Schizosaccharomyces pombe: one gene and its partners. The protein of the gene in region 2 binds, or shares a complex with, the protein of the main gene of each other region. Each region holds a gene or a part of one and is shown on either strand. Other genes may lie near its edges.

Region 1 (3,344 bases), 320 kb from region 2:
AAAATTTGACCGCTAAATTAGAATATTGAATTCTCGCTCGGCTTCTTATTCTTAAAATTTTAGAGTCATACCTTACCAAGTACAGCAGTAGTAAGCAGTCACAACTTAACAAAAGAAATATGAATTTCGAAAAACATTTCTAAGCACAACCAAAATGCAAATTTTCGTCAAAACCCTTACGGGTAAGACGATTACCCTTGAGGTGGAGTCCTCTGACACTATTGATAATGTCAAGAGCAAAATCCAAGACAAAGAAGGAATTCCTCCTGATCAACAACGTCTTATTTTCGCTGGTAAGCAGTTAGAAGATGGACGTACTTTGTCTGATTACAACATCCAAAAGGAGTCCACTCTTCACCTCGTTTTGCGTCTTCGTGGTGGTGGTAAGAAGCGTAAAAAGAAGACTTACACTACTCCCAAGAAGATCAAGCACAAGCACAAGAAGGTTGAGCTCGCCGTCCTCAAGTACTACAAGGTTGAGGATGATGGAAGCGTTAAGCGTCTTCGTCGTGAGTGTCCTAACTGTGGTGCATCCACCTTCATGGCCAACCACAAGGACCGCCTTTACTGTGGTAGATGCCACTTGACCCTCAAATTGGAAGCTTAAATGAGTTTGCGATAAAATAAATTAACACTTTTTTAAGTGATATTTTGTAATATATCTATATTGCTCATTGTAATGTGCTATATTGAATTGAAAATACTTATATTGTAAATGGTTATGAAAACATTTCATTTGTATTATATTTCTAGTAGTCCCATGATGATTTTTTTAAATAAATAATCTAAACATAAGCCAAACTAAACAAGCAAGCTACGGTTGAATGATTGGTGGAATTTTCAACAGTTTTTATATGCGCAAACGCGATTATTGAAAACGCCATTGAGGAATCATGAGTATTTCGAGGACATTAGATCTAAACTCAAGTTTTTAGTAAAAGGTAGTAAATATAGGAAGATGCATTCTTTTATTAATAAAAGAATAAAAAGAATTGAGTCGTAAAACATAGCGTTTAGATTGAGTAAATTTAAACATTACCAATCCATTTCAGTCGGTCGTAAACGGTTCTCGCTCGTATATATTTGTCAACATTCCAATAGCAGTTGGCAAAGTTGGTACCTGCAGCATCGCAGCATAAGCGGACTTTTTCATTTTGAGCATCATCATCATCTAGCTTGGCCCAATTTAAAGAGTGCTGCTCCCATTCACTGAAATACGCATAATAGCGAGCAAGTGCTGCAGTCTTTTCAGCGCTATCTTCGATGACTGCATCATTCTCATGCTCTACTGGCTCTATGTATTGGAATATCTTTTTGTTGCCTCCTCCTAAAGAAGTAGGAATTACCGAATAGTCTATGTATTTTTCGAGGTCGTTTGCGCTCTGAGTAAAAACAATTTTCGCAGCAATCTCTGGTTTAATCCATCCCTTAATAATGTTCCAAACACTTCTGAAAATCCAAGGAGATTTATGAAGAATACAAACACCAAGAGATTGTGGGTAATAATACTCCAAACACGATGCCAAATACTTAACGAAAGAATAATCCATATTATGTAGAGAAAAGTTACTAAGGTCGAACAGAACATTCACATTTTGAGGAGAGTCCATAGAGTCCTTCAAAGTCTTTTGTGGTCGCAGAAAAAGTCGCATAGTTTCCATTACCCACACGGTCATCTCACGAAGAGAATTCTGAGTCAATTTTGAGGGTTGATGTAAATGGACTTGAATATAGCAGATAGGGCGATCAGATAAGTCCCTTCCCAACATAGTTACCTTTCCAGTTCTCAATTGTTCCAAGAACTGATCATCATTTGTCTCTTTGGCATAAAGCTCACCCCGCTCAACGATACGCTCAACACCTGTATCTACGCGCCATTGTAGCGTATTGATTAACTTTTGACTTGCTTCATGTGAATCGTTATTGCAAGAAGCCAAAAATCGTACTAAGATAGCGTCGGGTGAGTCGCATTTTGCTAATCGTATGAACGATTCGCGATATTCTTTATGCTCTTGAAACCTAGGCCATGTCTTTTGAATCATCAACTTTAAAGGTGAATAACTTTCAAAGCTCACTTTTTCGTCTACAGTCTCAGGCTCAGGCTGTTTTTGAGAACGTCGGAAGAAAAATGTTCCTGCTGCTGCTGCCGAAAGCGCTGTAGAACATCTACATCTCACCCAAAGTCGCGAAAACATGGAGAAATACCAGAAAGCTACTCAAAATCCTTTAGAAAATGTTGATAATGTGAAAATAGAAAGTGAGAATGCAATCCCTTCGAATCTCCAAGCCTTTACTAAGTCACTGGCTGTTTTGGATGATAATGTGAGTGAATTTCGTAAACGAATGAATCACCTGTCAGCAACCAAACAAATACTCGACAATTTCAACGAATCGTTTTCTTCTTTTCTTTATGGATTGCAAATCAATGCTTTTTGCGTAGATTATGAAAATGCACCGCTTTCGGAAAGTTTTTTACTCCAAGCTAAGAAAGACCAATTTAAGGCAACGCTGATGACTCGTACTGGTCATTCGATTTCTGACCCTCCCTACGATGGTGGTGTTATTTCTCACGATCCCAATTTTGCAACTGCAGACGAAACATTTGCTACAAATGACACTTCTTTCATTGAACGGCCAGAAACCTATTCCGCTTCCAGATAAATTTATTTAAGCAAGGGAGACTGGTTGAAGTTTTTTCTTTTTCATTTATTATTATAATAGTCGAAGGGAATAACCTAGCATATCAGGTTGGATAATGAAACAACGGAATCATAATGATCATTCAATTTTACGATTTATATACAATTTTTAACATTTTAATGCACATTTTTCTTCAGCGAAGTGAACTGTAGACAATTGCTTTAAAAGTTCTAGAAAGCGTTCAGTAAACTCATATGTAATAGCTTCTCCAATCTTCAATTTCCAATAAAATGAATATGTATTTGTAGTCTATTTTCGATACTCACATTTACAACTTCAGTGGCTCTTTCAATACCTCAAATATGTAACACTAATTGAACCTATTTGAAGTGTCGAAATTTGTTCACATTCTATATTTGTAATTTTAAACATTGGAGCAATTACACTTGTTTTCAAGTATACAACTAGTTTTCGTTTTACTTCAAAATGCATTTCTTTGTTCGGAAGTACCGCGGCAAAGCAGCGTATGTAAGTGTATAGCCGCGGGTCATTCCACTTGTCTCAAGCCAGTCATTAGAACAATATACGTATCGGCCAATTGTGCTGAAAATGGTATCGAATATGTCTCGCTTACTATTTTGTGGATTTAACCAGGATTCAAAGTACTTATTTTATTGTTTTTGATATCAACATCACTAATACTT
Region 2 (3,550 bases):
CAACAACCAGCTCCGGAAAAAGGTGACGAATTTCTTTAACGGCTTTAATAACTGGTCCATTTTCGGAATCGGCCATGCTACCACAATAGTCCTTTTTGGACTCGATGACACCAAACAGAATTACACTACGAAGACCTTTTTTGACGAGAGGACCCAAAAACTCTTCCAATCTATTAACACCCCATCTAAATTGATTAGGCATGCTATCAATGGCTTCCTTAGCATCATCTATTTCGGAAATGAAGATAGGATACATTAGAGATGACTTGGTAATGGGACGTACACCTTGCCATTCACGAAGCAACGGGTTTGAATACCCAGCATGCAAAAGAGAACTGATATCAACAGGCATATTAAATACTAACTGACAAAATTTATTTGATTTTTCCTAAAGATGTAAAACTGCGTAAAAAAAGCAGATTTGTGACAAATGGAACTAATGGACCAGCAAAAGCGCCTTTTATTGGTTATTTAAAAAAGTTCTAGCGGAAGATCAACAAGATTTCCTAAGAAATATTTTTAAAAAGGTAAGTGGCAGATGGCGAGAGGTTGGCGAAGGTTAAGATAAATAAGTTTAACTTTTTTTTAAAAAATCGGGCATCGGACCACGATATTTGTTGATTACATAACAATAGTATCACTCCTGAATAAATTGTTTGTCCTTGAAGAAATTAATTGTCGTAAGGGAATGCTGGGAGTATTCAAACAAGCGAAACAGGACGAACGCCAAAAGAAAATGACCAAATGAAAAATTTAGATATCATTTAGTTTACAAGGTGATCTCATTCTCCATTTCATTAGGAAGTGAAGATACTTGGAACTTGGGTTTGCTGTCGGCTTTACCAATTCTGAAATAGAAGAAACAATATGAATAAATGGACAGAACAATAATATTTATTTTAACCAATTCTTGGCCTTTTCTACTTCAGTGAGAAATTAAAAAGAGTATTTAAGTCTTTATACCTCTTCAACATCGCCTTGCTCCGTAGCAGATGCGTTGGTATTTGAAGTAGAAGGAGGAATTCGGACTAAAGCTCCTGAATGTTGGGATGCTATCTGTATTGACTCAAAAATGCTGGGCCAATTATTGAGAACAGTAGCAACAGCTGATTTTGTTAGTGATTTGAGTGTCAAACATTTATTATAATGGATTAAAAAGAGTCGTCAAGCATGTATGAGTAGTAGTGAAAATAGAAAAAATAAATAAATAAACAGATTATATTTTTTACGTTTAGGTGAATTATTGAGAGGTAGAAGTTCATTTAGAGACATGTCGGCAAATGATTGCTTTTATTTGCAATCCTGCAGATCCAATCAATTCACTTGTTTCTTTGCTTTTCTCAATGTAATGATATTTATACTTGTTCACATGAATAGCACTTAAACAGATTGGTGACAAGGCTCTTTTATATACTTTCCTCGTAATGAACATACCTTCACTTCCATCTGTTAAAGTTTCCAATTTAGCAGCAAGCGTTTCTATTTGTTGAACCATATCATTAGAAGAATCTCTTAGTTTGCATATTAGTTCGTATTCCTTTTGCTTTTCCTCAATCCTTGCTTGAAGCATGTTCACGCCAAATGTTTGTAGAAGAAGGTACGAAATTTACTAGATTTATCTCCTACACCATATAAGGCGATTTCGGTTTTGTAATTATACGTTTAAAACAAATAATTTCCGTTTCTGGAATTTTATATCTCGGAATGTATTACTAATAAAGAGGTTGATAATAGAGACTAACAAAAAATATAATGATTGATTTTACTCAATTTTAACCATTTGTTTTCATCTTTAATAAATTAGTTAGTTCATTAATTTAAAGTAATAATGAATTTAGGAAACTATGTTGAATAGTGAATATAATTACTCAAATAATGGGTCAAGTTTAGCTAGCTTATTATATCCATATTTTACTAAGTAAGTATGCATTGCTTCATCCCTCTAAAGTTTTAAAGAGGATCAAAACTGTGCATATTCTCTACTATTTCTTCTTTTATTTTTATTTTTATTTTTTTTTACACAAGGTATAATGGGCTTAAAAGACTTTTAAGATTTGGGTTCGATAGTATATTCTTTTGGTCAACAAGATTGTCAACGTTCCGATACATAAGGAAATGAATTTTTTATTCTAGACAGGATGCAACTTCCACGTATGTTTTCTAAAATTTGAACCGTATTTGACTAATTTAAAAATTCATAAAATGTCTCATCCACTATTGAAGTTTCTTCAATGATCGGTTCCAACGGGTCGTTAAAGAATACCCAACTTTTTTAGAACAAATTATAATAGAGTGGCTATTATCCATTTCTAATTAACAACTTTTTAACATACATCAAACCCTTGTTTACATGGTAATCGAGTATTTTCCTTCGCAAAAATTCACTATTACTCCAAATACTCAGTTACTGAATTGTTCGATCTCACAATTAAATTTCGCGCAGTATGTTATTATATTCTATATACAGTTTTAGAATAACGCACTTTATACATGGTTTTCGGCAATAACGTTTACATTTATATAACAATTAAACAAGTTATAATACCGTTATATCACAGAATGTCCCTGTAAATAAAAGTCAGTAAATAATCTATAGGAAAGAAAAAAAAGGAAAAGGATAAAAGGGTTAGGGGATTGAAAGGATCATTGATTTAAAATCTTTGGGTAGTAGCATCTTTATGTATCGCAGTACCGATGAGATCTTCTCCATTTTTGTAAAATTATTGAAAGAACTAATGGTAGGAATACTAAACATAAATTATCTTGTAGTTTTATTCAATGATCAAATAGTTAAAGATTTGGATGATTTCGCTACATTGATACTTGGATTCTATGAACAGCAAAACAATCGCTTTCCCTTCATGCTGAATTAACATTTCGATAACTAAAAACAGATTCTATACACTTTAAGTTCAGAGAATTTAAATTGTTGTTTTTTCCTTCGGCCCGTCTTCAAAGAAACACACTCAATTCATTACTGAAACTGGACTTGCTAAGAGTATTGTTAAAAGCGTAAAGCACACATTAATGTCTTTTGGTAATCCAAACACCAGTAATTATGTGTAATTATGAGTTTTTTCGATACAATTATTACGGTTAGAGGAAGACATGGTTTCCAAAATCATTATGCATTTCTTTCGAAATCAATTATCGATGTTTCAACCATCAACTGTTTTCAAATTGGTATTAATTAAAGAATGTAAGAAATAGAAATAAACGCTGTTTTCCTTTAAAGCAATACTTGATGCTTTATTTGAATTATCTCATTCATCCCAACGTGAAGTTGACGATTCGCTGTAAGCGAAAAATCCTTACTTAACTTCAGGTTTAAAGCAAAAAGAAATCAACAATAAAAAGAAATGTTAACGTGAGTTATGTTCGCGTTGAACTTTGTATCGATGGGGTTGTCACCGTTAAACGTCGTACTAGCTGTGGGTGTCTTTATCTCACTGCGTACCCTCCTTGTACTCATCAAAATACCCCATTTCGAAATGAGCTGTGTAAGTCGTCAAATACGCGATTCGTTTACTAATTTGATTATGAAAATAGC
Region 3 (3,396 bases), 2.4 Mb from region 2:
ATTTGACATTATAAATGTTCGAAACGTATCCGTGCGAAAAAACCCTTCTATCAAAGCTGCAAACCCTTTTTCCTTACATTTCAAATTCATATAAATTGGGCCGTATGCGGGTGCTTCAAACGCAGATTCGTATTCCTTCAATAACTGATACGTCTGATAAGCATCTTCCCAGCCTGGAGCAGAAGACATAAAGTCTAGTTTCCTTTTCGTAGCATCGTTGTAGTAGGACAACTCTCTTTTAATGTTATCAAGGTCAATAAGCTTTTGTGCTTTCAATGTTCTGATACTACCTAGTTCATGAGAGCTCTCAAGTTTCTCGTTTTCATGTTGAAGTTTTTCCGCATTAACTTCTTGCATCTTTTCTTGTAGATCTTGAACACCGTTATCCGAAGGTCTTGGGCCTTGTCTTTCTGTTAATGACTTCACCGATTGTTGTGCTTCATTTAATGTAAGATTTGCATTCCGTAAAAGTGTTCGATTGGTATTAACCTTCTCATAAAGCTTTTTCTCGTTCTCCATGAAATTCGAAAAAGAAGCTCTGGCTCTTAAATTTGAGGTATTAAGTTCCATCGAAGCGGAGGAGTAATCGTTAAATGTATCATCTTTTAGTTTTAAATCCGAACGCAGCTCTTCACCTTTATCCAAAATAGGTTGAAATTCTTCCACTAGGTCTTTCAAATCCTTTTTTAATTTTTTTTTGTCTGCACGAAGTTGGTTAAAGACATTGGTTTTCTCTCTGTATATAACTAACATTTTAGCTAACCCTAGCATTTCGATGTATGATTTGATTTTTTCCCGTTCTTTAAATATATTGACTTCCTTCTCTAGTGCCTGTTGTCTATCTTTTAATGAATTTAATGTTGATTGTCCTTGGTTTTTATTTTGTAAAATTTCCCTTTCTCGTTTTCGTAAATCAATAAGCTTCTCATGTGCGGGAAGTAACCCTTCATGGTCAATTGCACGCTCAGTTTCCATCAGTCTAGAATAAGGATCAAGCTGAGCGAATTCTGCAACACGGTCTTGTGGTAAAAAATGACAAAGATTATTCAATTGTACATTGAAAGTATCCATTAGAGACGTTATTGAAGAAGTGGCACATGCTTCCCTATTAATAGAGAAAGAACTACTCTTATCCTGGCTTATTTGTCTCGTGATAGTAACCGTTTCATCGTCACGATACTTCATTTCAATTTCTATGGTTGCAGTGTTTTTGCCATACTTTATAAATTCACGGGCCTCTTTAGCTCTCCCAAGTAGCTAAATCGTTAATCAATTAAGTTATTTTTTATAATATTGAAAGACTTACTTTTGGGGGCCATCCCAGCCCAATGCATATTGCTGAAACAATTGTGCTCTTACCTGTCCCATTTGGACCGATAATCAAATTTAGATATGGACCAGGGAACAGTTCACAATAATCGTATGTAACAAAGTTCACTAATTTAATTCGTACAATACTTCCTAACGCGTAACTCTCGCGTGTTAAGATCATCGAAGTATAAAAAGCAGAAATACTAAATAGAAAAAAGCTATAACTTACTCTGAATACAAAGGATTACTTTTTCTTCGTTTCGAAGGCCTAAGGCCATCCATGGTGGAAGTAAGGAGGATTTCAGTCAACTAGGAGTTTGCTGAGAGCAAAGTGCTTATGCAAGGCAAGGTACAATGAGTTTAGAGGAAAAAAGAGCTCTCCAGAATCAAATTTTAGCTGAATATGCTAATCTTGCATCAAATTTAGAAACAGTAAGTCTTTTTTATTCAGCAGTTGGTTAATATTTAGCTTGTTAAGGTGTTACAGGACATGGTTTATAATCCCAGCAACAATATTCTGGACTCGCTAAGGGATTTAGAAAAGGAGGTTGGACTTGTATATACTCTTTACAAAGCTAGTGTTTGGGCGATTTTGGCAGACCTAGAAAATAACCAAGAAGGTAAAAGCGGCATGTTTCAAGATGAAAGTTGATAACGTGCTTGTTTGAAATTGAAAATACGTCAAACCGAACTATAAATTAAGCTTTAACTCTACTGTTGGTGCTTTTCGTGTGGTTTACTATGAATATTTGGAACTGAATATTTACCGGATAATTTTTCAATCACTTTTACAGAGAAAAAAATACATCCTACTTGGAAGAGTAAAAACAGGCACAAGATATAAGCTTATGAAGGTTTTTAAAAAGCACTTTTCGGCTAAAATGTCCAAGAAACGAATATGGGTATTGTTTTTAAAAAGTTGGTTAGATCACTTTTAATCAATTATCCAAAACAACCCTTTGGAAGTAGTCCGGCCTTAAATATTTCTAAACTATTACCCCGGAAACACTGACCTAATGAATCTTCCGATTAATTGCCTGTTAACATTTTATTAGATCATGCTGGATTCGAAAGTGTTTTCAAGCTTTCCTAAAAGCGTTATGAAAATGGGGTTGCATGAGAATCTGCAATGTTGTAAGCTGTTGATTTCTTAATCAAATAATAAGTTTCCTTCCTTGTTTTTTTCTAACCGTAATGGTTATTCATACTCAAATTTCTTCGTTATGAAGAGCAACTTACAATTGGGACTCGTTTTTGTCCTCGGATCATTAAAGTGAATACAGCGAGAAATTTTCTTCTGCTTGCATTTGACTAAAAATCATTTAAATGCCAGCAACTCTCTTCGAGATTGAAATCCAAAGTTTCTTCTGTTTGTACTAATATGGATTCTCATAATTTACTATATTTGATAAGCAATGAGGTTCATATTTTATTAATATACTTAATAGTGTCAAGCCCAATCCTTCAAAATATTGGCAAGTGTATGTTTTGGCATTACCAAATGACTTTGGTTTATAGTGGTATAACGTAATAATAATGGGTATTGTCTTTATACCGTTATAGACACTGCTTTTACGTTTTGATAGGCGCGTCTTACAAAGTATATATATATTTATTGCTTACGCGCATCACCGTTTTGCAAAGTGTATATAAAAAAAAGCAAGAACTATGGACTTTTTATCACATGCCATGCTTAGTCGATCTGAATCAACGCAAATTCTTTGTGAATTGAGTCAAATAGACGAAAGTACTATGGATCCTCAATATACTGAAGATGATGTTCTCGCTCGATTGTTTGTTTTTTCATCATCTTCTCCACAAACAGGTGTGTTCTCTTGTTTCAATTGATTTTTGACATATATTAGTACTGAATGTTAAGAAATATGAAGACGTTTCTGTTGGAAGGAGTAATACATGCAATTATCAGCTTCTGCAATTCACTGCCAGTTATAAGCACTTTAGAGTGTATTCGGTGCTAATCGATGATGATATGGATCCCCTTGTTTATTGTGAAGATCAGAGCTCTAATGGAACATTCTTAAATCATCGTTTAATTGGTAAAGGCAATAGCGTCCTTTTATCGGA

Evidence for each region.
Region 1: dad2 (region 2) and dam1 share a complex: the UniProt entries of both Schizosaccharomyces pombe proteins name them as parts of the DASH complex.
Region 3: dad2 (region 2) and dad3 share a complex: the UniProt entries of both Schizosaccharomyces pombe proteins name them as parts of the DASH complex.

The regions. Positions count from the first base shown.
Region 1 is NC_003424.3:3,105,691-3,109,034, reverse strand, and holds dam1 (DASH complex subunit Dam1), read left to right. Parts: upstream 1-2,193; coding exon 2,194-2,661; 3' UTR 2,662-2,844; downstream 2,845-3,344. Other genes in the region: ubi5 (ubiquitin-40S ribosomal protein S31 fusion protein), read left to right, coding at 155-607; csr101 (sec14 family protein), read right to left, coding at 1,029-2,195; WD repeat-containing protein Atg1801, read left to right, coding at 3,127-3,164. UniProt on the Schizosaccharomyces pombe protein: Component of the DASH complex that connects microtubules with kinetochores and couples microtubule depolymerisation to chromosome movement; it is involved in retrieving kinetochores to the spindle poles before their re-orientation on the spindle in early mitosis and allows microtubule depolymerization to pull chromosomes apart and resist detachment during anaphase.
Region 2 is NC_003424.3:2,784,579-2,788,128, forward strand, and holds dad2 (DASH complex subunit Dad2), read right to left. Parts: upstream 1,715-3,550; 5' UTR 1,571-1,714; coding exon 1,435-1,570; exon of another isoform or gene 1,404-1,434; intron 1,107-1,403; coding exon 958-1,106; 3' UTR 581-957; downstream 1-580. Other genes in the region: porphobilinogen synthase Hem2, read right to left, coding at 1-352; dynein light chain Dlc1, read left to right, coding at 3,492-3,500, 3,550-3,550. UniProt on the Schizosaccharomyces pombe protein: Component of the DASH complex that connects microtubules with kinetochores and couples microtubule depolymerisation to chromosome movement; it is involved in retrieving kinetochores to the spindle poles before their re-orientation on the spindle in early mitosis and allows microtubule depolymerization to pull chromosomes apart and resist detachment during anaphase.
Region 3 is NC_003424.3:5,228,161-5,231,556, forward strand, and holds dad3 (DASH complex subunit Dad3), read left to right. Parts: upstream 1-1,638; 5' UTR 1,639-1,665; coding exon 1,666-1,743; intron 1,744-1,780; coding exon 1,781-1,963; 3' UTR 1,964-2,740; downstream 2,741-3,396. Other genes in the region: Smc5-6 complex SMC P-loop ATPase subunit Smc5, read right to left, coding at 1-1,257, 1,307-1,472, 1,541-1,593; mek1 (meiosis-specific serine/threonine protein kinase), read left to right, coding at 2,980-3,136, 3,177-3,396. UniProt on the Schizosaccharomyces pombe protein: Component of the DASH complex that connects microtubules with kinetochores and couples microtubule depolymerisation to chromosome movement; it is involved in retrieving kinetochores to the spindle poles before their re-orientation on the spindle in early mitosis and allows microtubule depolymerization to pull chromosomes apart and resist detachment during anaphase.